Anolis sagrei: one gene and its partner. The protein of the gene in region 1 binds, or shares a complex with, the protein of each later gene. Links are inferred from orthologs where the notes say so. Each region holds a gene or a part of one and is shown in the gene's direction. Other genes may lie near its edges.

Region 1 (14,962 bases):
GCCACCCTATACCCCAATCTATCAATTAGTCTTGATAGTATCTCAACCCATCAGACATAGCTTTCCTTTAAGTTGCTTTAATCGTGTTGAGGTAAAGTATTGACAGCTCTAGCAGTGATGAAGAATGCTGAGATTTGTAGTCCACCAACATCTGAAAGGTCACACAACAAAGATTAGTCCTCATTTAAATTCACTAGATATTTGAGTGGCACCTACTTGAAGCCCAGGGCCCTTACCTGATTTGGAGCGCTTCATATCTCCTGCTCTGTAGTATTTTACTTTAAAAATACTAAACCTGAAATGTTACCCTTGGTGGAGGACATGAGTACATGAGTCTGCCATGGAAAGGCAGACTATTTTAAAGTCCAGGATAATTTTTTTAAATAGGGAAGTAAATCAAAAGCGCTTTTTGATTCTTTTAAAAAACCCAAACAATATGTGTGGTAGAGACTACCACAAAGAGCCTTAGGGCACCCCCTGTGGCCTGTAGGTTATTTTTTCAGCCCTGGAAAAATTGTGTTGAAGTCTTCAGTAGAGGGGAAAGAGAGTAAGAATTAATTGCATAAATAGCTTAATGCAAGAGCTGGCGCTTTCTAAAGTGCTGTGACAAGGCTGAAATCTGAGACACTTAGTTCTTAGTTTCAAAATGGAGCCATTGCTAAATTATGTATTATAAATGCTAGCATCTTATGATGTGATAATGTTTTGTCATTGAAAGGAAGACTTCTGCAAGGCACTATTGCTTTTAAACCTTTGTAGTCACACCAGTCTTATGATGAGCCTCTGCTGGGAGCCAGAGGGAAGGGATATTTGCATTCCTTCCTTGGAGATAATATTTATTAGATATGCTACCTCTGAATGTGGAGGTGCTTATATATCCTTTATTCTTCTAAGAGCAAGCTTGGATGAGGTGCTAACAGGACTGGAGCTATCTGTTGCATTCTAGGCCTGGAAACACCTATGACCACCACACCACACAGTCAAGAAATATAAGCAAAGAAGTTTATTGAAAAATAATATAAAAATCAGAAATAAAAAATGAAGATATATAATCCAAAAAGGTTAGCAACAGGTGATAACCAGACAATAATCCAAATGTCTCATAAAGTTCCAGAGGTGACAAAGTCAAGGAACAGCCAGAAATCACAGATATGGCATAAGTCCAAAATCCATAAGCTATAACTTGTAAAACATGAACAGGAGTACATGAACAGGAACATAGAAAACTTCCAGGATATATTAAATCCAAAATCAAAGCTTGACTTGAACCAGGAACAAGAGAACTCGGGCTTAGCTTCTCACTCTAATGCAGTATTGTCTGAGCTGACTGTAAGGTGAACAACTTGTCTAATAAGCACCCATTAAATCATTCTGTTTCCCATTAATGTCCTTCACAACTGTCCCGTGTAACCTGTCTAAATGACACAATCTATTTTCAGCTCTGATTTGTAAAAGAAGACTTTTGTTGATCTCCATAACTACAGGTGGGTTCTCATGGGAACTTTCCTTATAACTCGGCTCTTCATTCAATTCCTTATCTGCTGTTGCTACTTCTGGCTCCCCTGAATGCCCTTGAGGCCCTGTACCTTCCAAGCCAGTTTTTCACAGAACCATCATTTCCCAGACTTGAATTTCCCAGACTTTAGAGCCCATCACCTTGTGCCAAAGGAAAGCTCACAATCCTCTAAATCATCAGTTTTTTTCCTTTAATTGTTCTATTTATTTATACATCCATTCAATTAACAAACTTTTGCCATACAAGTCTTATCTTGATATATATTATTCCAAAAGTCACTTTACCTTCTATGACATTTTATACATTTCTTAGATGTGTATCTCCCATACCCTCCCTCCTGGAACAGCAATTCAAAATGCTGTCATTTCATCAGATTAACTGTGTGGAAAGCCTAGTTCAAGGTGCTATATCTTTCGTCTAAAATTTAGACTCTAAATCATCAACTGAAACCATCAGCCTCTGGTTGATCTACAACAGGGGGATCCTGAGTTGTGAGGGATTTTTCCCTTTGCACAAACCCACAAAACTCAGGCAAGCAGAGGGAGGACTGCTGATTCTCCTGCAAGAGCCACAATGCCAAATGTCATTTCGAAACTACATGCATAGATTTGCTTCAGGTCTTTAGAGTCCTGGAAGAGGCTACATCTGGTTGCAGGCATGAAGCCCCCCTGCCCCCCCCGAAATTCTCATGGTGGTCCGCGAGAAGGCCTTACTGGTACATTATTTAAACTGTTATGTTTATTCATATCATGATTTGATCACTATGCTCAATATGTCCCATATGCATGGGGTATTGGGGTAACGATACAAAAGGTTTGCTAGGGTAGACTCGCTTTTCAGACTCAGCACCCCCCCAAATCAAACTCAGCCCCCCCCCCCCCCCCCCAAATCAAAATCCTGGCTACGGGCCTGTCTGGTTGGATCCCTGATCTGAAAGCCTCCTGTTAGGATGCAAGTGTAGTGGTATGTAGATCCTGTTTTCCATGGTTTGCCTGGCTCCCTTTGGATTAAGCTTCAAAGAAGTGGTTTATGGCAGGGGTCCCCAAACTAAGGCCCCTGCAAAGTCATTTACCTGTTCCTCACCCTAAACTTTAGACTAAGGGTTGCCCTAAGTCTGAAACGACTTGAAGGCACACAACAACAGCAATCCTAATTAACTTGACTATTTCATCAGCCAAAAGCAGGCCCACACTTCTCATTTAAATACTGGTTGGTTTAAATGGTTCTTCATTTGAAATATTGTATTGTTCTTTCATGGGTTTTATCCCCTAGAAAAAAGATATGTGCAATGTGCATAGTTCATGTTATTTTCAAACTATTCTGCTCTGCAAAAGTGAGGGACTATGAATCAGCCTTCAGCTTAAAAAGTTTGAGGACCCCTGGGTAAGAGACTTAATTCTGTCTGGTGTTCAGAGTGAACTGTCTTTATGATATCGGCTTGTACTCTCTTTTTCTTTTATTTTTTCTTTATTTGGAGAAGCAGTCATCTGGATTTTAGTGCTTTGGAGTTTTCTATTAGAGTTGAAAAGTGGAATATGATCTATTTTATAAAAATAATGTCTCCTGATTGCCCTAGTGCAACCTCATTTTAAAAGCTGCTAATGCTATTGGCATTAGGGCATATTCTGGCATCATCCACTCAGGGAAGAAGCTGTCTGTATCTGTTGAATCTCTTATCAATTTCTTTAATGGATAAATTCTAGTTTTATGAAAAGAAGGAACATTCTAATTTTCTTCACATTATGAATTTGTAGTTTATTTGTTCAGTCACATCCGACTCTTTGTGACCTCATGGACCAGCCCACGCCAGAGCTCCCTGTTGGCCGTCACCACCCCCAGCTCCTTCAGAGTCAAGCCAGTCACTTCAAGGATATCATCCATCCATCTTGCCCTTGGTCGGCCCCTCTTCTTTTTTCCTTCCATTTTCCTCAGCATCATTGTCTTCTCCAAGTTTTCCTGTCTTCTCATTATGTGACCAAAATACTTCATCTTTGCATCTAATACCCTTCCCTCCAGTGAACAGTCGGGCTTTATTTCCTGGAGAATGGACTGGTTTGATATTCTCACAGTCCAAGGCACTCTCAGAATTTCTGTGATTTTTTTTAATTCAGCCATGGAAACCTTATGGGAGTCACACTCTCTCAGCCCCAGAATATCCAGCAATAGGGTTGGTTGCCTTGGGATTACCGTAAGACTGACTGACTTGATTTCAGGTTCTCCGGCATTCAAACCGTTGCTTCAAAGAAGTGTCTTATTCTCTGTCAAACAGTGCTTTATTTGTTAAGAAGCAGATCAGCCTCCTCGTTGCATCCTATGTCAGAACTATGTGATCTATACAGAATAAACCTAATAGAAGACCTTAGAAATTGTATGATAGGTTCAGCAATCGTACCATTAGCCCTTTGGTTCTAATGTGAGAAGGTTCAATCTCCCAGTCTCATCTAATAAAGTAAAGGTAAAGATTTCCCCTTGACATTAAGTCTAGTCTAGTTGTGTCCGACTCTGAGAGGTGATGCTCATCTCCATTTCTAAGCCAAAGAGCCAGCATTGTCCGTAGACACCTCCAAGATCACGTGGTCAGCATGACTGCATGGAGTACAGTTACCTTCCCACAGAAGCAGGAAGGTAACTCACATTTGCATGTTTTTGAACTGTTCTCACAGTTGCATGTTTTTGAACTGTTAGGTTGGCAGAAGCTAGGGCTAGCAGCAGGAGCTCACCCTGCTCCCCAGATTCATACTGCCAACCTTTCAGTCACCATGTTCAGCAGTTCAACAGTTTAACCCAATGCACCACCCAGGGGGCCCAGTCTCATCTGACCTAATCATAACCTAATCATCTAACCTAATCAACAGATTTTTCTTGCTTCTTACATTAATCTTTGATAGTCCTGGCCAAATGGTCTAGTACGAACCTTGTATGTTTTCATATAGTATACTAGCCATCCCCTGCCAAGCATTGCTGTGGCCCAGTCTGTATATATGTGTTTTGTGTGTGTGTGTGTATTTGTGTATATGCGTATATATGTGGTTTTGTGTATGCGTTGCAATGTATTTTTTGGTTTTTGGCTTTTAAAGTCTCTTCTGTGTTTTTCAATGTTTTTATAAGTGATGGTCACTTGTTGGCCTGATAGGTGTCTTGTGTCCAAATTTCATGTCAATTCATCCAGTGGTTTCTGAGTTATGTTAATCCCACAAATGAACATTACATTTTAATTTATATAGATATGCAGCAGTTGTGTATGCCCCATGTTGATGTTTATGGCCTGACTAGAAATAAGTCATGACACTTGAAGGCACACAACAGCAAAGCCCAGATCTTGTATTATCCCCATCTGTGATGGGTTGAGATGATAATTTAATAATATATGGTCTTCCAAGTTAGCCTTACCATATTGTGAGGTTTTACTTACATTCCTTTCCTGTCCTAAATCCCTACCGGCAGATTTTCATGTTTTCCACAGCTGTTACATAACACTGGGCAGCTGCCACTATAGCTATGTCAGTGTTGTATGTGGGCCAACGTTTTAATACATAAAGTCTTTTTATATGGAGAAAGTTACTTGGAGCAGCTCTTGTGTTCCAGGTTTCCACACGTTGGCGAGATTTCTGTGGGAGATCCGCAATTCCCTTATAGCTTGCCCACTCTGCAAGTACCTTCTGCCTCCTGTCCACATTAATTTAATAGGGTTTTCTTAAGCAATGAATATTCAGAGGTGGTTTTGCTTCTACGCTGGGATTTATGAGTTATTCCCATCCAAGTACTAGCCAGAGCAGGCCCTGCTTGGCTTCCAAGATCAGCCAGAATGATTTATGTTCAAATCCAACCGTTTTTTAAAGGTGATCTTTTGGCAGGGGTGTTGTGTGGTTTCTGGGCTGTGTGGCCACGTTCTAGTGGAATTTTCTCCCAACATTCTGCCTGGCATCTGTGCCTGGCATCTTCAGAGGATCTTGATGTGGTCTGGGATTTGTTTTATTATATCAGAAGCGACTTGAGAAAACTGTAAGTTGTTTCTGGTGTGAGAAAATTGGTCGCCTGCAGAGACGTTGCCCAAGGGATGCCCGGATGTGCTACCATCCTGTGGGAGGCTTCTCTCGTGCATGGGAAGCTGGCAATTCAGCTGGCACAAGGGTTTAACCCACGGCTCCCTGGACCGGGGCTGAGTTGCTATCTATATATATAAAAATGCTCTGTGCATAATGAGTACCTTAAAAACAAAAGAACCAATGAACGAAATCACACCAAATTTGGCAACAAAATGTCTTACAACACAAGGAGTAACCATCACTCAAAAAATTATGATTTTGTCATTTGGGAGTTATAGTTGCTGGGATTTATAGTTCACCTACAATCAAAGAGCATTCTGAACTCCATCAACGATGGAAGTGAACCAAACTTGGCACACAGGACTCCCATGACCAACAGAAAATACTGGAAGGGTTTGATGGGCATTGAACTTGAGTTTGGGAGTTGTAGTTCACCTACATCCAGAGAGCACTGTGGACTCAAAAAATGATGGATCTGGACCAAACTTGGCACAAGCACTCAATATGCCTAAATATGAACACAGATGGAGTTTGGGGGAAATAGACCTTGACATTTGGTAGTTGTAGTCACTGGGATTCACAGTTCACCTACAATCAAAGAGCATTCTGAACCCCACAAACGACAGAATCGGGGCAAACTTCCCACACAGAACCCCCATGACCAACAGAAAATACTTAAGGCCACCCAATCCAACTCCCTTCATCAGGGCAAGAAAACGTAATCAAAGTCCTCCTGACAAAGAGCCATCCAGCCATAGATAGATAGATAGATAGATAGATAGATAGATATGATTCACACACACATGAAATGCCACCCCCAATATGCATTATATATGAAGAATTACAAAAACCAAACACCCATCCTTCCACATTCGAATCACTTCTATGGTGCCATATAAAATCCAGATTATTTGCTTTGAACTGGATTATATGGCAGTGTAGGCTCATCTAATCCAGTTCAAAGCAGATCATGTGGATTATCTACTTTGATAATAATATGGATTATATGGCCATAGCGACAGCTATGATGGAAGGAAGAGAAAGAAGAGATGAAAGCAATGCAGTAGTGGACCCAGGGTAGAAAGGACCTCAATTGCTCCCCCTCCCACAACACACCCGAGAGGCTAGCTGAGCCTGGGAGTTTTGGCATCAGTTACATTTTTAGGTTCCTCTGTGCAGGAGCTTGCCAAGACACGTTAGTATATTTTCTGCTTCTGAGCTGCTGGAAGAAGGTCATTCAAATGGACACCTAAAGAACATTTGAATCTCCCTCAAAGGACATTGTGTGAGTCAATGCTCACATGACTGTATATATGGAGCCCCTGGTGGTGCAGTGGGTTAAACGGCTGAGCTGCTCTACTTGCTAACCGAAAGTTTGCAGGTTCTAATCTGGGGAGTGGTGTGAGCTCCTGCTGTCATCCCCAGCTTCTGCCAACCTAGCAGTTTGAAAACATGCAAATGTGAGTAGATCAATAGGCACCAGTCCAGCAGGAAGGTAACGGCGCTCAATGCAGTCATGCCGGCCACATGACCTTGGAGGTGTCTATGGACAATGCTGGCTCTTTGGCTTAGAAATGGAAATGAACACCAATCCCCAGAGTAGGACAAGACTAGACTTAATGTCAGGGGAAAGCCTTTACCTTTTATTTATTTATTTACTGTATTTGTATACCGCCTTTCTCAGTCCATAGGCGACTCAAGGTGGTTATCAGGGAAAAATTCAATTCTTGCAATGTCATAAATACAATTAAAAACATAACAAATAATAAAAACCAAAAAAATCAGTAAAATATAAATTCATAGTGTATCCTCGTTAAAAAACGAAGTCATTTACAAATGCTTGTTCATAAGCCATGCCTTGACTTTTTTCCGGAATGTTAAAAGGGGGGTGGCCGATCTAATATCTATAGGGAGGGCATTCCATAGCCGAGGGGCCACCACCGAGAAGGCCCTGTCTCTTGTTTCCGCCAAATGTACTTGTGACGAAGGCGGTAACGAGAGCAGGGCCTCCACAGACAATCTTAAGGTCATAAGGGGAGGTGTGTTTGGACATGTAAGTTGGACCGAACCCATGTAGGCCTTTGCAGGCTAAAGCCAGCACTTTGAATTGTGCCCAGTGGTAAACTGGCAGCTAGTGGAGCTGGCACAGCAGAGGAGTTGTACGCTCCCTGACTGCTGTTCGTTGGACCATTTGAAGCTTCTGAACAGTCTTCAAAGGCAACCCCATGTAGAGTGCATTGCAGTAGTCTATATGGGATGTAACAAGAGCATGGACTACCATGGCCAAGTCAAACTTGCCTGTCGCTCTGCATAATAAAGCGTAAACACCTTGGTTTTACTGATCACCTGTGTGACCTATCTTTTCTCTAGCAAGACAATGTGTGGATTGATAAAGGTGCGAACTACGCCTTTGGACCGCCAGAAGATCCAACCAGTCCATACTTCAGAAAATAAAGCCCGACTGCTCATTGGAGGGAAGGATAGTAGAGACAAAGATGAAGTATTTTGGCCGTATTATGACAAGAAAGGAAAGCTTAGAGAAGACAATGATGCTGGGGAAAATAGAAGGAAAAAGGAAGAGGCAAGTTGGATGGATGGCATCCTTGAAGTGACTAGATTGATCTTGAAGGAGCTAGGGGTGGTGACGGCCGACAGGGAGCTCTGGCGTGGGCTGTTCGATGAGGCCACGAAGAGTTGGAAACGACTGAACGAATGAACAGCAATGCATGATTTTCATTCTGTCACAGACTCATTGAATCCAGCTCAAAGAAGATAATAGATTGTCTGCTTTGATAATGTGGAATTTTTTTTTGTAGTGTCAGGAGTGACTGCAAGTCGCTCCTGGTGTGAGAGAATTGTCCGTCTGCAAGGACGTTGCCCAGGGGACGCCTGGTTGATTTGATGTTTTTATCATCCTTGTGGGAGGCTTCTCTCATGTCCCCGCATGAGGAGCTGGATCTGATAGAGGGAGCTCATCCGCCTCTCCCCGGATTCGAACCTGCGACCTGCCGGTCTTCAGTCCTGCCGGCACAGGGGTTTAACCCACTGCGCCACCGGGGGCTCCGATATTGTGGATTATACGGCCATATTGACAGCTAGGAAGAAAGGAAGAGCAAGAAGGGATGTAAGCAATGCAGTCGTGGACCCAATGGGGAACCTCAGTTGCTCCCACCCAGCCCCGTGCGCACGCGCACTCCGCAGCCGCACCGCTCGCCCGCCCGCTCGCCCCCTTTTCCCCGGGATGCCCCGCCCCTTTGGAGGCAGCTGGCTCCGGATTGGGCGCCCCCGCGTCCTGGCCACGCCCCCTGGGCTCCCCATCCCGCCCGGCGCCGCAGTCCCCCCGCCGGGCGCCGCAGCCATGAACCCGTTATTCGGGCCCAACCTCTTCTTCCTGCCGCAGGCGGAGCAGGACTCTCCTTTCGGGCTCTTCCCGGGCGGAGGGAGAAGGGGCGAGGAAGAGGACGAGGAGGAAGAGTGGGGCCCGGCCTTCGGGGAGCCTTTCTCCTCCACCACCACCACCTCCTCCTCTTCCGCCATGGCGCTCCGCAACGACCTGGGCTCCAACATCAACGTGCTCAAGACCCTCAACCTGCGCTTCCGATGCTTCCTGGCCAAAGTGCACGAGCTGGAGCGCCGCAACCGGCAGCTGGAGAAGCAGCTCCAACAGGCCCTCGAAGGGGGAGGCAACGGAGGAGGGGGAGGAGGAGGGGGCAGCGCGCGGCGCTCCAGCATCTCCCGGCGCGACCAAGGCGTCCAGACGGGCTTCGTGGGGCCCATCCGCCCGCTGGGGCTGCCCTTGGCGGGAAGCATCGCCCCGCGGGTGCTGGGCTCCCCCAGTCCCAACCCCGCGCGGAGCTTGGCCTCCCCCGGCTGCCACCCGGGAGCCCCCTTGGCGCCCAGCAGCCTCGCCTCGCCTTCCTCCTCCTCCTCCTCCGCCTCGACGCGCTTCCTGCCGGGCACCATCTGGTCCTTCTCGCAGCCGCGGCGCCTGGGGCCCGGGCCGGAGACCACGCTGGTGCAAGGGCCCGGCGTCTCCTGGCTCCACCCGGACGGCGTCGGCGTCCAGATCGACACCATCACCCCCGAAATCCGCGCCCTCTACAACGTCCTGGCCAAAGTCAAGCGCGAGCGCGACGAGTACAAGCGACGGTGAGAACGGAAGAGAGGGATTGGAAGGGGTGGCATCCGGGGCACAGGAAGGGAGCTAGGCTCAGGCCTGGGCAGGCTTGGTGTTTTGGACTGCAGCTCCCATCATTCCTCACAGCCTCAGGTGCTCAGCCGGTTAAGAATGTTAGAATGTTGAGGCTGGCCAATCAGAACCCATATGCAAATTAATAGGTGGAGATCGCTCATGCACGGGCCAACTTGGGTCCTCACGGTGTTTTGGACGTCAACTCCCACCATTCCTAAGAGCCTCAGGCCCTTAGAGACTTAAGAATGTTAGAGGCTGGCCAATCAGAACCCATATGCAAATTAGTAGGTGGAGATCGCTCATGCACGGGCCAACTTGGGCCCTACAGGTGTTTTGGAACTCCAACTCCCACCATTCTTAACATCTTCATCCCCTCAGCCACTTAAGAATGTTAGAATGTTGAGGCTGGCCAATCAGAACCCATATGCAAATTAGTATGTGGAGATCGCTCATGCATGGGCGAACTTGGGCCCTCCAGGTGTTTTGGACATCAACTCCCACCATTCCTAAGGGCCTCAGGCCCTCAGCCACTTAAGAATGTTAGAGGCTGGCCAATCAGAACCCATATGCAAATTAGTAGGCGGGGATAGCTCATGCATGGGCCAACTTGGGCCCTCCAGGTGTTTTGGACCTCAACTCCCACCATTCCTAACAGCCTCGGGCCCTTTCCTTTTCCCTTTCATCTGCTTAAGCTTAAGGTCATTTTGAAATGTCAAAAGGGGGGCCAAAAGGGAAAACTTTTTGAAAGATCTGGCCTGAGAAAAAGAAATGGGCATCTTTAACAACTGGATCACTCTAACAACCACCATGTTGGACTATACAGAAAAGACATTTAAATCCACAAGCATCACTGTGCTGCTGTGAGTTTTCTGGGCTGCATGGCCATTTTCCAGAAGTATTCTCTCCTAACGTTTCGCCCACATCTATGGCAGGCATCCTCAGAGGTTGTGAGGTCTGTTGAAAACTAGGCCAGTGAGATTTATATATCCCTATAATGTCCATGCAGCTGTGGACAAGTCTACATAGGGACTACCAAACACAGCATTGCCCAAACACAAATCAAAGAACATGAAAGGCACTGCAGACTATTTCATCCAGAGAAGTCAGCTATAGCAGAGCTCCTGATGACCCAACCTGGACACAGCATATTATTTGAGAACACAGAAATGCTGGACCACTCTCACAACCACCATGTCAGACTGCACACAGAAGCTACTGAAATCCACAAGCATGTAGACAATTTCAATTGAAAGGAGGGAATCATGAAAATCAACAAAATCTGGCTACTAGTATTGAAAAACTCTAAAATCAGGACAGTGAATAAAGTGCAACACTAAAAAAAACCCCAAAACAAAACAAAAAAAACAGAGGAATTCCAGACAAGAAACAATCAGGGCTAGATAACACCTCTCAACAAAGGATCCCCCAGGCAGTTACCAGCCAGGCTTTGAAGCTGCAAGGCCATTAAACACTAATCAAGGTGGCCAGTTGCAACATTCACACTTGCCTCAAGCAGTTCTTTCTCTCACCCTGGACATTCCACAGATATATAAACCTCATGTGCCTAGTTTCTAACAGACCTCACAACCTCTGAGGATGCCTTCCATAGATATGGGTGAAATATCAAGAGATAATGCTTCTGGAACATGGCCATAGAGCCCGGAAAACTCACAACAATCCAGAAAGGGGCAAATTCAGCCTAAACTCAGGGCTTCTGACTGGAGAGCTTCCCTTCTCAGAAGGGAAAGGGGCACTGCATTTCTTGAATCAGAACCTGTCCAAATATCACAAACCTGGCTTCATGGGTCTGGGAACAGGGTTGCAGAGAAGTATTGCCTCTCTCTCCCTCTCTCTTTGTGTCTCTTAAGAGTGAGAAGGAGAGAGACAACATTGGTTAGACCACATCTGGAATACTGTGTCCAATTCTGGGCACCACAATTCAAGAGAGATATTGACAAGCTGGAATGTGTCCAGAGGAGGGCAACTAAAATGATCAAGGGTCTGGAGAACAAGCCCTATGAGGAGCGGCTTAGGGAACTGGGCATGTTTAGCCTGAAGAAGAGGAGGCTGAGAGGAGATATGATATCCATGTATAAATATGTGAGAGGAAGCCACAGGGAGGAGGGAGCAAGCTTGTTTTCTGCTTCCTTGGAGACTAGGACGCGGAACAATGGCTTCAAACTACAAGAGAGGAGATTCCATCTGAACATTAGGAAGAACTTCCTGACTGTGAGAGCCGTTCAGCAGTGGAACTCTCTGCCCCGGAGTGTGGTGGAGGCTCCTTCTTTGGAAGCTTTTAAGCAGAGGCTGGATGGCCATTTGTCAGGGGTGATTTGAATGCAATATTCCTGCTTCTTGGCAGGGGGTTGGACTGGATGGCCCATGAGGTCTCTTCCAACTCTTTGATTCTATGATTCTATGATTCTATGAAAGAAGTCTGCCACTACCTAAGAGTCCGTTTTCCCTGTGGCTTTTGAGTTTTTTCCTAATTTCCCATAATTTAGTGTTCAAGTAGCCTATATACCAGGGGTCCTCAAACTAAGGCCCGGGGGCTGGATGCAGCCCTCCAAGGTCATTTACCTGGCCCTGCTCAGAGTCAACCTAATTCTGAAACGACTTGAAAGCACACAATAATGACAACATTCTTATCTCATCATCCAAAAGCAGGCTCACATTTCCCACTGAAATACTAACAAGTTTATATTTGTTAAAATTGTTCTTCATTTTAATTATTGTATTGTTTTTAGGTGGGGGTTTGTTTGTTTTTTTGCACTACAAATAAGATATGTGCAGTGTGCATAGGAATTCATTCATGTTTTTTTTTTTCAAATTATAATCTGGCCCTCCCAACAGTTTGAGGGACTGTGACCTGGCCCTCTGTTTAAAAAGTGTGAGGACCCCGGCCATATACCCTTCATTGTCCAGGAGTCTTTGGGACTGCCCCCTCCTTTCATCCCTTCTTTCTCTGTTCCTCCCCTCATGCCTTTCCCCCCTTTCCTTTGGCTTTCTTTCTCTCCTTTTTCTTTCCTCCCCCTCCTTTTTTTCTTTTCTTCTTTCTTTCTTTCCTTCCTTCCCCCCTCCCTGTCTCTTTTCTCCTGTAGCTTACATCACAATGCCTCTGTGGTGACATGACTTTCTGTGTAACTCTTTCCTTCCTCCCTCCCTTCTCCTCATACATAAGTCACCTTTCCTTCCCAGTAACATCACAAAGGGCCACTTCCTCTGGCAACAGCCTTTATGAACGTTAGGAAGAACTTCCTGACTGTGAGAGCCGTTCAGCAGTGGAACTCTCTGCCCCGGAGTGTGGTGGAGGCTCCTTTTTTGGAAGCTTTTAAACAGAGGCTGGGTGGCTATCTTTTGGGGGTGCTTTGAGTTCAATTTTCCTGCTTCTTGGCAGGGGGTTGGACTGGATGGCCCATGAGGTCTCCTCCAGCTCTATGATTCTATGGTTAAGACATCCAGTAGAGACATACTTTGACATTTCATATATAGAGATGTATTTTGAGACCCCAAGCATGGCATCCACGTTGCCACCCGTTTGCCTCCTTTCTTCTTTGCCGTATTGGGCGAGTCCCATGTCACATCTCTGAGGCTGACTCAGCTGACTCAAAGGGGAGGAGGTCCAGAAACCCAAGCCCTTTAAAGATCTGCATAGGCACAGTGTTTGCGGCGGCAACATATTATTTTTGAAGTGCTGTTGCCGCACATTGCTCCCTGCAGACAAAAATGGTTTTAGTCTACATAAGCAAAAGCGTACATTTCTCGACCGGAGAAATTAGAATCATAAAGTTGGGAGAGACCTTGTGGGCCATCCAGTCCAACCCCCTGCCAAGAAGCAGGAAAATTGCATTCAAAGTATCTCCAACAGATGGTCAGGGGTGACAACCTACATTTAGATTGACAGCCTTCTTTTAGACAGGTTGTTGGGACCTGTCTAAGTGTAGGGTGCGAACCAATGCAGTCGGAAAGATCTTTCATGTACTGTTTCTCTAGAAATCACAACCTCAGCATCTCCTTTTGGTGAAAAAAGAGAGAGCAATGCAGTATAAAAGCTGCACTTTAGCCAAGATGCTCACTTCCAAATCTACCCAGCTACTAGGATGACCTCAGGGGCCTTTGGCTAGCTCTACACTGCCACGTAATGCAGTTTGAATTGCATTATATGGTGAATTTAGAGCCATATGATGATGCTTAAACTGCACTATATGGCAGTGTTGATCCAGCTCCAATCAGCCCATCTTCAGAAATAACCAGAGACAAAGGCCTTCTCTGTTGCAGCATCTCAGCTATGGAGAAGGCTTGCGAGCCTGATTTCCTTCCTGCCACCTTCCTAGGAATCTTCTGGTTGTGCAATGGGTTAAACCGTTGTGTCGGCAGGACTGATGACTGACAGGTCGGAGGTTTAAATCCGGGGAGAGTGCGGATGAGCTCTCTCTGTCAGCTCCAGCTCCCCATACAGGGACATGAGAGAAACCCCTCACAAGGATGGTAAAACAGCAAAACATCCAGGCGTCCCCTGAGCAACATCCTTGCAGACGGGCAATTCTCTCACACCATTATTGACTTGCAGTTTCTCAAGTCACTGCTAATTCAAAAAAACCTTCCTATCTTAAAGTTCTTCAGGCATTAACAATGAATTTTAAAAAGATCAATTGGTTTTATAGTGTGGCAAATTTTTCTTTTTTTTCATTCTTTGTTAATGTCTGAAGAGCTTAAAAACTGACCTTGAAAGTTCGTTAGACAAGTGGACTTTCTTTTGGTCCCATCACTGTCATAGACTCCTTGATGGGGACACAAGACAGAGCCTTCTCAATACCCTTGTGCATCCCCTTGAATTTCACCCGGCTGTCTAGTGTTATTATTTTTCAGGTTCATGATTGGTGACAAAGTATGATGGATGCTCTGACAGCGAAAAAGGCTTTGAAACAAAATACAAAGATCGGAAAGATGATCACACAATGCTAGTGAAAGTCTGAAATTAGTGTGGGTGGGGGGTGAACAAGAAGCTACCAAGAAACAGTATTCGCAGTAGGGTTGTTGTGAGTTTTCTGGGCTGTATGGTCATGTTCCAGAAACAGTCTCTCCTGACGTTTCACCCACAGGGACTCAGGGTGGCTGACAACAAAAGCATAAATATACATCTTCGGTTAAAAAATATTAAACATTATAAAAACATCATAATAACAGTAAAAACAGTGCTGCAAGGCA
Region 2 (15,867 bases), about 63 Mb from region 1:
CATTAGGCAGGCACAATCCAAAATTTAGCAGTGTCAATTGGTGTGTTTTCATAACTTAATGAATCACCACTCTCTCACTAAAAATATTGAAACAAATTATCAAAAGTTTGGCTTGACTATGAGACAGAGCAATGGATGTGAGGAAGTATTTTCTTCTTTTCTGCTTCCCGAAGTCTTTTATTACATGGCAGTTTCACAGCAATATATTCCTGATGTGTTTCAGCTTACTGGACAAACAGAATACTGAAGGCCATTGCAATACAGCACACAGCAACATAAGGGCTCTTTCGTTCCCCTAGAAGAAAAAACAAAACAAAATATGTTCGATAGCTCTCATGCACAAGCAACTCTGGGATCTTTTATGTTTCATGCTTTGGTAAGAAGTCAAACAGCATAAAGAGGAAGATGTTACAACAGGTGAATTGATTCAATCAAGAAAGTCACAGCCCTGACTTTGTAAGTCCTGATCAGGACAGTGGATGACTATATATTTTGGGAGTTGCTCATAGGGTTATCATCAGTTGAAGACAACTTGATGGAAAATGACAAAAGTACAGTAATAAAAAGCAATAAAATTAGTAAGAGAAAATGAGAATGACAGCGGACAGGTTCAGGCAATTTTCTTCCCCTTTAGTATTCATAAAACATCATAAAAGGAGCAAAATGTCTATTTCTAAAGTCGGCCCTCCGTATCCAGATTCTGCATCAATGGACTCCATCATCTGCGGTAAGAGAATATGTCTCCCAGCCACCCTTATGGATAAGGGATTTCATGTGCTCCATGCAGTCGTACTGGCCACATGACCTTGGAGGTGTCTACAGATTTCTGAACAAGGGATGCTCAAATTTACACAATGCATATTTCTAAAGGTTCTGTTGACTAACATAGGAAATACTGTTGAGTCCCATTGACCATTGAAGCTATGGAGTACTTCCATCTTGTCCCCCATCCTCCCAACTCTTTAAAATCTCTATGAAGCTGCTGGGGAAGGACATAAACAAGATCTGGGTTAGGGTGCCACCCGTATGCTGAAGACAGTTGGCACATGATCAAACTAAATGTGATTAAGGCCCCATCTATACTGACCAATATAATCCAGTTTCTGAATTCTGATTTAAACTGGATTATAACAGTCTACACTGCCATACAATCCAGTTTAAAGCAGTTAATCAGCATTCAGAAACTTGATTATATGGCAGTAGATGGGGCCATAGATATAATACTCGATCTCAGGAATTTGCATTTACTTCGTTTGGTTTTCTAGTAGTCTAAATTATCCTGCTTTTCACTCTGTTGAACAGAAAAAAAGAAAGATTATTATCCTCCTGTCTTTGAAAAAAAGGAAACATTTTAATCCAGAAGATGGCCAAAGTAGAAAGATTAAACATCTACATCCAGAATATTTCATTTTATTAATCTCTGAAATGAAGGTTATTGGGTTCCTAATAATCAAAACGAAAAGTAATCACTTGTCAAAAAACCCTTGTTTACTTTGGCTGAAATCTAGGGTAATTTTGCATGGCTTTACCATGATTATAACAAGTTACTAATTAGTTAATTGTCTGAATTTCACTGTCTCTAACTACTTGGCACAGCTTCTTTTTCTATAAAACAAACACAAATCATCACTGTAGAATTTAGCTCTCTTTTTGTACGTCGGCACCTTTTACACAGATAAGCTGTTGCCTATTTGTTAGGTAGTGCAAACAGACATTTAATCTGAATGATGATGGATGCCTCTTTCAAGAAAATTAAGCAAAAAAGCAGTGCACATATGAAAACTGTAAAACTGTAGGAGGTATACTTCCTCAACATTAATTCTAAGCAGATGTAGAATTGCAGACATTAATTCACACAGCTATTTGCAGTTTAATTAAATGTATGCCAGATGATGACAATGTCTTGTAATGTAATTGTGGTGGCCTCTCTTATGGGAAAAGTCAGTGAACTGTTTCTTGCTGTGGAAAGATTTCTTAGTCAGGGTTGGGCAACCAGATTCGCTTGAAAGAATACTGGCATGTATAATCACTTGAACACATCGCCGCTTCAAAAGTTTAGCAATTTTTATTTATTTTTATTACATAGTGAAGGTATTAGAACCTTTCTTCAATTGATTAATTACCATATAAAGTTTTAAATGTTACCAAATGAATTTACCCACCACTTATTCCCTACAATATTTATCAAATACACTCTTCGGTGACATTTTACCACTTTAGAGACTGTCACTGGATATTTATTGAAAGTATTAGATGAGCAATTCATACTCATTAATGGAGGGAGAAGGTTGTATTTATGTTTCACTCACTGTCAAATTTTTCAAGAGTATAGTGCTAGATCAAAGTGTTATTGGTCCAGTAATATTGATTTTGTAGTTCACTTCACTGAAACTACACTCTCTTACTGGAGTCAGGGCACTTTCTAGATGTATGGCGTGTTTACCTTCTTCCCAATCTTTTCTATCAATGCTGAAATGCCTAGAAAGTGTTTTGTGAACACCCCAGTATTGCTGGGGTTTGGTTACAGAGTGGTCTGTGGATATCAGAATCCATGGATACTCAACCCATTACATATAATTGAATGCCCCTTATATAAAATGGCAACATCAAGGTTTACTTTTTTGGATTTTTTTTAAAAACAATTTCCAAGCTTTGGGTTGTGGAATCCATGATACAGTGGACCAATTGTATGTAGAAATAGATTCATGGAGGTCCAAATAACAACATTGGTTTCTTTGTAATGTTATTTAGGCCTTTTTATAAGCCATAAGTTACTTTTAAAAGTATATATAAATGGTTTTAACATGTTTCAGCGTATTGACTGATTTATTACACTTTCATTCAATCTAAATTATTTTATGGTTTTAATCTGGAATTCTTTTCAATTGTTCAGATTGTTCTAATTATATACTGATCTGAGATCAAACAATCATTCAAACAATCATTTAAAGTCAGTACAGCATCGTTAGAACTTACATTCAGGTAGGTATATTTTAGGATTTCTATCTAGAGAAATGTACTGATGGAGTTTTGGTAAACATGAATCAGTGTAGCACAGTTTTTCTCATACTAGTAACCACAGATTAGGAAAACTGATCAAAGCAACGTGACAGAAAAGAGTTCCATAACACCAAATATTTGGAAATGTCAACATTATCATTAGTAGTTTTATTTATACCCTGCCTTTTTCCTCAAGAGGGCTCAAGATAGCCAACAGATACAAACTTTAATCAATTTTTTTAAAATCAAATACAAAAACTGAAAACAATTAAACAGCACTGTGTGTGTTAGGTTAAAATACAGTTTAAAAGTATTTTAAAACACACAGTCCCCTCAAAAACCCCTCCCACAATCTCCCCAGCAATGTGCCCCTTATCCTTCTCCTAATGCCTGTTGGTAGAGCAAGGTCTTGACCTGCTTGCAGAAGGCCAGCAGGGATGGGGCCATCCTGGTCTCTCTTGCGAAGGAGTTGAGGAGCAGCCACTGAAACGACCATCTCCAGTGTTCCCATCAAACATGCTTGAGCATGTTTGGTGGGAACACGGCACCCAGTCTGGTTGTTATCCAATAATTTTAAAAGGCATGTATTGATAAGATTCAAGTTACACAGACATCATCATCATCATCATAAGATGTTTATTTGGCACATTGAGGTATGTGATGCTGCTTAACAAGTAAAAACCAAATAATGCTGTCCTAACCTCAGGTTTACAATCTAATTAAGACATGACACAAAAGGAAAAGTGATGGCAGTGTGGAAGAGAATTAAGTCCAGCAGATACTGCCTCCTCTTCTCTCCTTCTGAGGCCACAGGAGTGGCAGATGGAATGGATGGAGAACCTTTCATCTGTGAACACCTATTAACAGTACATTTTGTCCAGACATTAAATAATGAACACACATACTTACCAATTCTGGCACACTTCCAGAATATTCCCAATAATCTGAAAGGATATTAAGAGGAATTAGAAAAAAATGTAGTCAAAACTAAATGCAATTTACAGGGGGCTTTCTCTGCTGTGGCATCCTTGCAATGGGAGAGTCTACTCTTAAGGGGCCCAACTGGCACTAGCATTGGTGTCTTTCCAGTGCCAAGTAAAAACATAACTTAAAGCTTTTGAAGTTTAACTAAATCAATCCAAATCTGCATATGTACGAACTTTTAAGATACCTCAAACCATTTAAGTAACTTCAACCATTTTTAAACAATCTTGTAGGATAGTTTAATATGTTTTAGTATATTTACATCACTCTTCTTTAAGATAATTTTAAACGGTGAAAATGTATTGCACATCACCCCGAGATCTTTGAATTCAGGGAGGGCTGAAATATCTTAACTAAAAAATATGAACACTGGCTAAAATCCTGTGACTCAGGACCTTGTGGAATTTTTAAAAAAATCTTATTTGACAAACATCACTCATGATATCAAGAATGGATTCTAAGTCCTCCATGCCATGCAATTTATTTGGAAGACTTTTATCTAAAACCAATTCTCCCACCACCCTGAGTAGATTGGATTTGATTTCTACCAAAGACTCTGGATCAAATACAGTACAATTCCCATATCTGCATGGGACACATGCAGATATGGGAATAATAAACAAGCAAGTACATCTATTTCTCTTTCCCCTGCATTTCAAGACATTCACATACCCAGTCTGGTTGTTATCCAATAATTTGGGAGCCAAGGATCTTATATAGGCACAGGTACATATAAGTAGCAAGATTACTGTCAGTAGACTCTGAAAGTTGAAGATCGCAGACTAAAAGAGAAAAAAAAAGCAATACAAAATAGGAGTCATCATCCAGCCTTTATTACTTATTATTTTATAATTTTAGAATCACTACTGAGTCTTTGAGGTCTATAAAATCAGGGACCATTCCAGTGCATCATTTATGGTTTCCAATAAAGCTGCTCTCATTAGCACTCTATAACCACAAACAAACCTAAAACTTGATACACACACACACACATTATATATATATATATATATATATTTATTCTGAAACTATTAATTTTTTTTCATGTCAGCAGCGACTTGAGAAACTGCAAGTCGCTTCTGATGTGAGAGAATTGCTTGTCTGCAAGGGCGTTGTCCAGGGGACGCCTGGATGTTTTACCATCCTGTGGGTGGCTTCCCTCATGTCCCTGCATGAGAAGCTGGAGCTGACAGATGGGAGCTCACCCTGCTTTCTGGATTCGAACCACTGACATTTCAATCTGCAGTCCTGCCAGCACAAGGTTTTAACTCATTGTGCCACTGGGAGTTATTGATTAGATTATGTCACACAACCAGCAGCACACTTTTTATGATAAAAATTAATGACACTTTTCCAGGTAGAAATCTCATGGGTTCAGGAAGACTTTAGATTTAGTGAATCTCCTTGACACATGTCACTCTCCTTTGGGTATACTCTTACAGCGAAAGGCAAACTGACATAAAAGGAGGAAGGTAGATTTCCTACCAACACTTTTGATGACTATCCTAAATTCAGTGGCCTATTTTTTCCCCCACAGAAACAAATTTCAGTTACTCATTGTGCTGTATATTGGACAGAATAGGTCTGCTTATGATGACCTCAACCACTCTTCCCTTAATAGCCTCAAGGTAGAGAATGTGCTTTCCATGCAGAAGGTCTTCGATTCAAAATTAAACATTTACAAATCTATCCGTACCACAGCCTTCTGAATGAGGTTTGTTTTTAGACTTGAATCAAATTTATCTCCATTATGTACATGCAAATATCCCAAAATTTGAAGTACTGAACACTTCTGGTCCCAAACATTTCAGATACTTAACACGTGCCTGTATTTGTAAATACATATACAATGAGATATTTTGGAGATGGAACCCAAGTTGAAATACAAAATGCATTTATGTATATTTGGTGTATACTTTATACACACACCTTGAAGTTAATATTATACAAAATATTTTAATAATTTTGTGAATGAAATAAAGGTATCACTATCTTAGTCACCCATGTGAATAATTTTGGATTGTGGTGCATTCTGGATGTTTAGATAAGAGATGGTCAACCTCTAATAGTAAGACTCCAGAATTTCCCAGCCTGTATGGCCACTGGATTCTAGAAGTGAGTGAATACGGTTAGACTTTAACATCTCGGATTCAACCATCAATGGTTTGAAGTTTAAAAAATCCAAAAAGCAAACCTTGATTTTGTCATTTTATATAAAAGGCACCATTTTACTATGTCGCTGTATATAATGGGACTTGGAGACCAAACTACAGTGAACACCAAGGAACCACTGTATGTATCTAATGAAGTAAGAGTACGAGTGGTGTAGTGCTTTGAGCACAGGATTAAATGCCTGCAGGTTAGAGTTCAAATCTACACTCCGCTCTGTAAACTTCCTGGGGGACTTTTGACAATTTGCATTCACTAAGGTCCCTTCCACACAGCTGAATAAAATCCCACATTATCTGCTTTGAACTGGGATATATGGCACTGTGGACTCAGATATTCCAGTTCAAAGCAGATATTGTAGGTTATTCTGCCTTGAAAATATGGGTTATATGGCTGGGTGCAAGGGCCCTATGTTTAAGGGCCCTTCCATATAGCCCTATATTCCAGAATATCAAGGTAGAAAATCCCACATTATCTGAATGTGGACTCAGATAACCCAGTTCAAAGCAGATAATGTGGGATTTTCTGCCTTGATATTCTGGGATAGAGGCCTGTGTGGAAGGGCCATTAGAGGAAAGATAAGAGAAGCCCATTTCTTAACAAATCTTCCCAAGAAACCCCTGTGATAGGTCCACCACAAGTCTAAAACAACTCAAAGGCAACCAACAACATGAGATATCCTGGAGAGGGGATACAAGTGTAAACACATTTGTTTATTTTTCACGTGCACCTTTCAACATCACCCAGAAGTAATTTTATACACCATATTTTAGAAATAACTTGTGCATGGAGCAAGGTTTGTGTAAATTAAAGCACCAGAAAATGTAAGTATTTATTTACTTCTTTACGATATTTCTACCCCGCCTTTCTCAAATCTGAAGATACTCAAGGCAGCTTGACAACATAGGCAACTATTCGATGCCCTTGAAACAATGTAAAAATCACAATAAACATTTAAAACAAAATTATAAAATACATACATTAAAACTGTTAAAAACATAAATAAAGGTGTTACCATGCCATTCCATTCCCATGAACAATTTTGGGTTTGGCGGTATATCAGGATTCCAGATAAGGGATGCCAAGCCAGAACTTTTTCAGGCAGTACTTGTTTTTTGGTACCTTACTAGACTGAAAATGTAACAAGCTGTGTTTGTTCTTTGCCCCTCCCTTGTTGTGCTGCTTTTCTTTTATGGAGTTCAATTTGCACAACACATACTTCAATGTAGGCATGGGAAAGCAGAGAAGGAAACTCCAGATGACTCTCTGGCTGCATCTTCTACACAGTAGAAAAGGGGTCCTCAAACTTTTTAAACAGAGGGCCAGGTCACAGTCCCTCAAACTGTTGGAGGGCCGGATTATAATTTGAAAAAAAAATATATGAATGAAATATATGCACACTGCACATATCTTATTTGTAGTGCAAAAAACACTTTAAAACAGCACAATAATTAAAATGAACAATTTTAATAAATATAAACTTATTAGTATTTCAATGGGAGTGTGGGCCTGCTTTTGGCTGATGAGATAGGATTGTTGTTTTTGTTGTGTGCTTTCAAGTCGTTTCAGACTTAGGTTGACCCATGTATAAATATGTGAAAGGAAGCCACAGGAAGGAGGGAGCAAGCTTGTTTTCTGCTTCCTTGGAGACTAGGACGCGAAACAATGGCTTCAAACTACAAGAAAGGAGATTCCATCTGAACATGAGGAAGAACTTCCTGACTATGAGAGCCGTTCAGCAGTGGAACTCTCTGCCCCGGAGTGTGGTGGAGGCTCCTTCTTTGGAAGCTTTTAAGCAGAGGCTGGATGGCCATCTGTCAGGGGTGATTTGAATGCAATATTCCTGCTTCTTGGCAGGGGGTTGGACTGGATGGCCCATGAGGTCTCTTCCAACTCTTTGATTCTATGATTCTATAAGCAAGGGCTGGGCAAATCACCTTGGAGGGCCATATCCGGCCCCCGGGCCTTAGTTTGAGGATCCCTGCTGTAGAATGAATGCAGTTTGACACCACTGATGGCTATTGAATCCTGGCAGCTGTTGTATAGAGTCACCATGTAAAGCCAAAGGCCTTGGAGAGCTACAACCCCAAGGATTCCATAGCATTGAGCCATGGGAGTTAAAGTGGTGTCAAACTGAATTCATTCTACAGTAGGCCTGGGCAAACTTGGGCCCTCCCTCCAGGTGTTTTGGACTTCAACTCCCACCATTCCTAAGAGCCTCAGGCCCTTTTCTTTTCCCTCTCAACCGCTTAAGCGGCTGAGAGGGAAAAGGAAGGGGCCTGAGGCTGTTAGGAATGGTGGGAGTTGAAGTCCAAAACACCTGGAGGGAGGGCCCAAGTTTGCCCAGGCCTGTTCTACAGTGTAGGCCCCTTTTGGGGAAAGCAAGAAGGTTCATGAGAGAACCCAAGGGCTCCTTCCTTCCTTCCAGCGCGGAGCCCAACCCTTCTCTGACGCCAGGCCTCGGAAGCCGCCTCAGAAAGCGAGAAGCCGTACCTACAAAACCAAAACCACAGACGCCCCCTGCCCTTCCCTCCCGTGTTCCTCTCTTTGGCCCTTTGCTTACCATGGTTACGCGCCGCCGCGAGCCACATCAGACATCCGGCAGCCAAGGGGCGGGGCACGGAAGACGCGGGAGCGGTCCGCCTAGGCTGCTGATTGGTCAAAGGAAACGGCGGCCCGCGATTGGCGCCAGCGAAGACGGTTACCGGCGCTCTGATTGGAGGAGATTCAGAATGTAGGCGGGGCTGCTCCTGGGGGCAACGGAACGGAGGCGGGAGGAGAAGCCGGAAGTGGAACTTTCAGTCCAGTGTGAGGTAGGAGAGGGGGAAGTTGTGTGTGTTTGTTAGGTAGTGGGGGTCCTATATCCCTCTCGCCATGCTAATGAAGGGAAGACTAAAAGGCAAGGGGTTTCTTGTCAAGGAGGAGGAAAATTATTTGAAAATGCACTTGTTTTCGTTCCAAGGCTGAGCGAGGCTTTTCAAAGCTATGCCCTCATTTCTCTTATCGCCTGTTTTGAGATTGGGAAAGTTACTTTCTTGGATTGCCAACTCCTAGGGTGTATCTACACTATATTTAATGTAGTTTGGCACCACTTTAGCTGCCAGGGCTCAGTGTTATGGAATCCAGGAAGTTGTGGTTTTACAAAGCCTTCTTTGCCAAAGAGTGATGGTGCCCCACCAAACTACAAATCCCAGGATTCCATGGCATTAATTCATGGCAGTTAACATAGTCTCAAACTTGCGTGACCGCATCTCCGTATACGAACCCACATGATCTCTCCGGTCATCTGGAGAGGCCCTGCTCACAATCCCACCTGCGTCACAAGCACGTTTGGTGGGGACGAGGGACAGGGCATTCTCTGTGGTGGCCCCCCGACTCTGGAACTCTCTCCCCAAGGACATCAGACAAGCCCCAACATTGGCAGTCTTTAGGAAGAGCTTGAAGATGTCGCTGTTCCAGTGTGCCTTCCCAGAATGGAAAACTCCTAGCATCATGTCCCAAATGCACTTTACTAGAAAACCTATCCATTTCACCTGTCATGTCCAGCATTTTTAAAATTTTATTCATTACATTTGGCCCGGCCTCAGTTTTTAAATGCCTTGTGGTGTTACTGTCTAATGCTTATTGTTATTGTTTTAATGTTTATTGCTTTGCTTTATGAGTTTATTTATTGTTGTATTTGTTATGCTGTTGTTTTATTGATGTGTTGGGCCTCTTGTAAGCCGCACTGAGTCCTTCGGGAGATGTTAGCGGGGTATAAATAAAGTAAATAAATAAATAAACTTGTCTCCTGCATATGTCATCAGTTGGGGATTCCTCTCCCCAGCACCAACTGCCACTCTGGGCTAGAGTAAAGAGAGAGGGGGGCAGAAGACAGTTCCACCTTGTTTCCTGCGTTATGCTAATAATATAATAACTAATAATATGATATTATAATTATATATTTATAATAAAGATAAAGGTTTTCCCCTGACATTAAGTCCAGTCATGTCTGACTTGGATGTGGTGCTCATCTCCATTTCTAAGCCGAAGAGCCGGCGATGTCCATAGCCACCTCCAAGGTCATGTGGCCGGCATGACTGCATGGAGCGCCGTTACCTTCCTGCCGGAGCGGTACCTATTGCCCTACTCACATTTGCATGTTTTTGAACTGCTAGGTTGGCAGAAGCTAGAACTGACAGCGGAAGCTCACACCGCTCGCCGGAATCGAACCTGCGACCTTTCGGTCAATAAGTTCAGCAGCTCAGTGCTTTAACCCACTGTGCCACCGGGGGCTCCTTAAATAGCAGTCATGACTCAGCAGGGATATAAGGAGCTCCCGGTGGCGCAGTGGGTTAAACCCCTGTGCCGGCAGGACTGAAGACCGACAGTCACAGGTTCGAATCCGGGGAGAGGCGGATGAGCTCCCTCTATCAGCTCCAGCTCCTCATGCGGGGACATGAGAGAAGCCTCCCAGAAGGATGATAAAAACATCAAATCATCCAGCGTCCCCTGGGCAACGTCCTTGCAGACGGCCAATTCTCTCACACCAGAAGCAACTTGCAGTTTCTGAAGTTGCTCCTGACACGACAAAAAAAAAAAAGCAGGGATATATATTTATATTGCATGTAATATTACTAATATTACAAAATAATTGTATAGTGCAATATAGTAATATTTAATACTGATATTGTACTATGCTAAGAAGATAATATATTGTATGTATATATATCTTGTAAGCCGCACTGAGTCCCCTTCGGGATGGGAAGGGTGGCACATAAATGTTGTCAATAAATAAATAAACTGCATTAACCCATCAATGTAGATGTACCACTAGACCACTGGTTCTCAAAACATCTCCAGATGCCGGCAGAGGAGTTTGGGGTGGGGGGTAGCAGCTTCCAGCAGCTCGTCCTGCCTCTCTCAGTCACTGAAGATGAGCCTTCGGCAGCTGTAAACACTCCCCAGTGATCTGGGCAAGCTTCTCTAGAGCAGTGGTTCTCAACCTGTGGGTCCCCAGGTGTTTTGGCCTACAACTCTCAGAAATCCCTGCCAGTTTTCCAACTGTTAGGATTTCTGGGAGTAGAAGGCCAAAACATCTGGGGACCCACAAATGTTCCCCTAGACCAGGCATGTTAAACTTGGGCCCTCCAGGTGTTTTGGACTTCAGCTCCCACAATTCCTAACAGCCTCTGGCCCTTTCCTTTCCCCCCTCAGCCGCTTAAGCTAAAAGGAAGGGGCTTGAGGCTGTTAGGAATTGAGGGAGTTGAAGTCCAAAACACCTGGAGGGCCCCAAGTTTGCCTATGCCTGCCCCAGACTCTCAGTCAGAGGCCATACATATTCCGGGAGTTGTTCTAAGGCTCATCAACCCAGCAGAAACAATGCTATGGCTCACAGCTATACATTTCTAGGATTTGTAGTTTGGTGTCAAACTAAATTAATTCTACAAGATACACCCTTATTCTCTTTGAGGGCCAAAGAAATAAAATGCTATAGGTCATGCCATAGTTTTGTTTTGCAGTGGTCCACGCATTAAAGTGCTCCTGACAATTCTCATTCATTTATGGCAACTGAAATGCATGGGACCAGAAGTGTTTTGGATTTCAACACACCTGCATTTGTATATATGTGCCTAATAAGGTATTTTGGGAGATGGGACCCAAGTAAACACGAAATTCATTTTTGTTTCAGATACACCTCGGCGACATTGCCTCACAGTAATTTAATGCAATATTTTAATCAATTTTGTGCACAAAGTAAAGTTTGTGTGATTATCAGAAAGCAAGGCAATACTATCTTAGCAACCCATGTGGGCAATTTTGGAGTATTCCAGGTTTCCGAGTTAGACATCCCAATCCATAGTTTCATCCATTATTATTATTATTTACACACCGCTTTATCTCTCCTGAAGGAGACTTAAAGTAGCTTACATTAAAAGTATGACCACATAATTTAAAATATACAAATATGTGAACATTGAAACAGAATTAAACATAACAGTATTTAAAATCGTTCCCACTGCCCAGTAAGTTAATCGTGCTGTTTTATTCCAGAAAAGCTTTTCGATACTCTGTTGGTAGACCTAAGTATTTGCTACACGGTTTTCACATTACATGTCCATAGGATTTGCTAGTTCTGCCCCAAAAGAAATAGCAGTCATCAACAGCATGCAATAGTAAAAACATTCAGCATCATTTTGCTCATCCAGATTAATCTTAGACCACTAAACTTGGGCTTCTGGTTTATTGGGAAAATTTCTCTCCTTCTCAGTGTTCACATAAATTAATCAAATCACGTTAAACACCGCAGAACTTTTCCAGAAGTAACTCTCTGATTTTAGCAAGTCTTCATATATGCTTTGATGGCTTATTGCAGCCTGTTGATTGTTTAGTTGCTCATCCTGAAGGAATTTGTGAACAGGAGATTTGTGTTTTTCCCCATCCAGACCAACATATGGTAAATATCTGCTTTTGCTATCAGTTTAAGGAAGATATTCTTGCTTCTACCAAACTGAAACCTATTTCCCCTGAGCACAGCACAGAAATAAAATGATAGGTATCTGAAAGGGCATCCTTTGTGGACTACTTCTGTCTGTTTATTTTCCTTATTGGCTTAATATATTGAAGTCCTGCTCGTATTCTAGCAATTTTTAGATAGTGTCCATCAGTAATCTAAGAGGTAATTCATATCATCCAATAGATCACAAATGGAAACTGGATGTAGTCAAGCAACATCACAGTATGGTCAAGATGGCAAATGTTATGGTATTAATGAGGAAGAATAAACAAGCTAGAAGAGGCTATAGAAGTTTGCTTTTCCCTGAGCCTATTGGGAAAAGCAGGATTTAGCCTCCACTTCCCCCCAATGAAAGGGGGAAACCGCAAATACAAACACACACACATACACACCCTTCCAAGAGAACACCTCTCTAGAGCTGGCTCTACACTGCCAACATATCCAAGGATATGTTCCCAGATTATCAGATTATCTCCGATTATCTGCCAGTATAGACTCATAATCCAGTTCAAAGCAGACAACCTGGGATCAGATCCTTTAGGTCCTCCACTGTGATCTTAAGATCAAATTCCAATAGAGTCATTGTGGAGGACCTCTAAATGCCTAATCCTTTCTCTAGGAATCTCTCAGTCCTCCAGTGCATTTTTATAAACATCAGCTAGACATTGACCATAAAGTTGCACTGGAGGATCTAGGCCCCTTCTACACTACCATGTAATCCAGATTATCAAAGCAGATCATCCACATTATCTGCTTTTAACTGGGTTATCTGAGACTACATTGCCCTATAATCCTGTTCAAAGCAGATAATCTGGATTTTATATTGCAGTGTAGAAGGAGCCCTTTCAAAAGGGAATATACTAATTAAATCTACAGATAGTCAAATTCATAAAAGTGAAATCTACAGTGTGGAGAACCAACTTTAAACTGTTTTTGTACTTTGAAATCAATAATCTGAGGACAAGGGAAGAGAGGAAAAAGGGGAGAGAAATCTATCCATTTTCAAAGCAGCTGAAAAAGGAAAGAAAGGATTGATCTTGACTGTTTCTGCCAAATCAGAAAATTGGTGCATATGTTAGTTATATGAGAAGGAGTTACTCTGAATATAGTTATCCACTGACGTAGCTAAAATGAAATTTGATCCTGATATGTATGGTAAGGTGTTGGGTATTCATGTTTTCTTACAGTGGTTGAAGAACTTTTCAGACATACTGTGATTTTTGGCAATATCCCAATGTCCATTATGTTTTATAATGTTTCATGATAGTTGTGGCTGAATATGAAGGAATTCTTATTCTTAAGGGAAAAGATGGGGTATAAATAAAGCAAGTGTTTTATTTTGCAATTTTTGCAAATTAAGTTATTGATTTGGTATGTTACTTCTCAACTGTATGTTTCTTTTGTTAAATGATCACTTTCCTTTTCTAAGAACAATAACTTTCTTAGTTGCAATCATTTAGAACTCATGAGATGCATGAAGATGATAGACCTGAGATTAGTGTATTAATCCCTGCTTTACTTCTGTTTTCATTCCATTTCCTTCATATTGCAAGAGTTATAATCAAATCAAGTTTGCAAACAGAAGCCAGCTTGAATGTTTAATGACAGCTAGTTAAAATGATCCAGGAATCCTGTACAGTTGTGAGGATAAAGGCCAAATTAAATCCCATCCAAAACACAGAGGAATACAGGTGGCAGGAAACTAATTATGAATCCTAGAGAAGTGTTGGCTTAAGTTGTCTTCAGTAGATCCATTTTTTTTTTTTTGCTATGAAACACACCAGAGAATTGAGATTTATTGCCTCTTCCTTCAGGGAAAAATGTTCTGTAATGATCATAAATGTGTGTAAAAGTATTCTTTCAGGTCCATTATCTAATCTCAAAAATGAAAAATTGTATTTCCTCTATTGGAGGGGTAAAAAACCAAATGATCTGAAAATATGAAATTTAGACATCCTCTGAGACATTTTGGCAAAAGAAGGAAACGAAGGAAATTCAGACCTGTGTTGGATTGTCTAGATCTTTCTTTACTGTAAAACACATTTGTATGAACTTCAGTAAAATCTCTATAATCAAAACACTGGTTGCAATCCTAGCAATTTTTAGACATATCCCTTAAGCCATGCTAATTTGAAGTGATAGCAATTTGAACAGAAGACCTGGAACCAAACATAAGCAGATACCAAGGGCTCACTGTATTAGGGACAAAAAGTACTATACCCTAATTCAAAATGCAATAGATGAATTGGGACAGTTTTTGTTGCAGCTATTTTTCTCCCTTAAATAAAACACTGCCCTGCATGTGTCAGATGTTTGAAACCCAAAGGTGTATTTTGCGATTCTTAAGGTGACAGCAGGCATGTAGCCGGAGGGGGGGGGGGGCTTGAGGGGCTTCAGCCCCCCCCCCCCGAAATTCTCATGGTGGTTCACGAAAAGGCCTTACTGGTGCATTATTTAAACTGTTATGTTTATTCATATCATGATCTGATCACCATACTCAATATATCCCATATGCATGGGGGTATTGGGGTAATTATACAAAAGGTTTGCTAGGCTAGACCCTCTTTCGCTCAGACTCAGCCCCCCCCCAAACCCCCCCTGAAAAAAATTTAGCCCCCCCCCCCCCCCCCGAAACGAAATCCTGGCTACGGGCCTGGGTGACAGTGTGCTAAAATGCCTACTTCATGGATCTAATTATGTGTGGATTTTCAAGCAAACTTAATGACCCATCAGCTCAGATGGATATTTCTAAGAACAACAACTTTCTTAGTTGCAGTCATTTAGAACTCATGTGATGCATGAAGATGATAAACCTGAGATTAGTGTATTAATTCCTGATTTTCTTCTGTTTTCATTGCATTTCCTTCATATTGCAAGAGTTATAATCAAATCAAGTTTGCAAACAGAAGCCAGCTTGAAAGTTAAATATTACCTCTTAATTGGCATCTTTCGTGGTCCTCTGCCAAGTATTGTGTTTGCTTCCTGGCCTTCTGGAGCACACAGAAGCCAATAGCTGCTCTGGCACGCAAGATGGGCAATGCTGATGCAAGTGCACATCTTGATTTTCACACTGACACAATTTTTTGCTACGTGGTAAGGCTGGCTAGGACCCATGTGCCATGTGGACGGAATTGGTTCGTAAATGCTGCTGTAACCCCCACCCCCGGCTTTAGGTCTGCATGTTCCAAAAACTTAATGGCTGAGATTTGCAACACCTG

The links.
Region 2: the proteins of IFFO1 (region 1) and XRCC4 are in contact, whole or in part, in a crystal structure (PDB 6ABO), measured with the Homo sapiens proteins. The link is inferred for Anolis sagrei from reciprocal best matches to the Homo sapiens genes IFFO1 and XRCC4. Residues at the interface, in NP_001317253.1 of Homo sapiens: Arg469, Glu470, Tyr473, Ile477, Gln479, Ile480, Glu481, Glu483, Leu484, Ala487, Lys488, Asp490, Met491, Arg493, His494, Leu495, Tyr498, Met501, Lys505, Leu508, Asp509, Met512, Cys515, Arg516, Leu518, Ile519, Thr520, Gln521; in NP_001304941.1 of Homo sapiens: Trp155, Val158, Gln159, Phe162, Glu163, Cys165, Val166, Lys169, Glu170, Glu173, Leu176, Tyr177, Phe180, Val183, Leu184, Lys187, Lys188, Lys190, Ile191, Leu194, His195, Lys197, Leu198, Ala201, Ala202, Arg205, Glu212.

The regions. Positions count from the first base shown.
Region 1 is NC_090022.1:197,315,674-197,330,635, reverse strand, and holds the start of IFFO1 (non-homologous end joining factor IFFO1), read left to right. Parts: upstream 1-8,869; 5' UTR 8,870-8,920; coding exon 8,921-9,711; intron 9,712-14,962. UniProt on the Homo sapiens protein: Nuclear matrix protein involved in the immobilization of broken DNA ends and the suppression of chromosome translocation during DNA double-strand breaks (DSBs).
Region 2 is NC_090022.1:260,345,888-260,361,754, reverse strand, and holds the start of XRCC4 (DNA repair protein XRCC4), read left to right. Parts: upstream 1-8,879; 5' UTR 8,880-8,966; intron 8,967-15,867. Other genes in the region: TMEM167A (protein kish-A), read right to left, coding at 225-295, 3,910-3,944, 4,657-4,766, 8,717-8,719.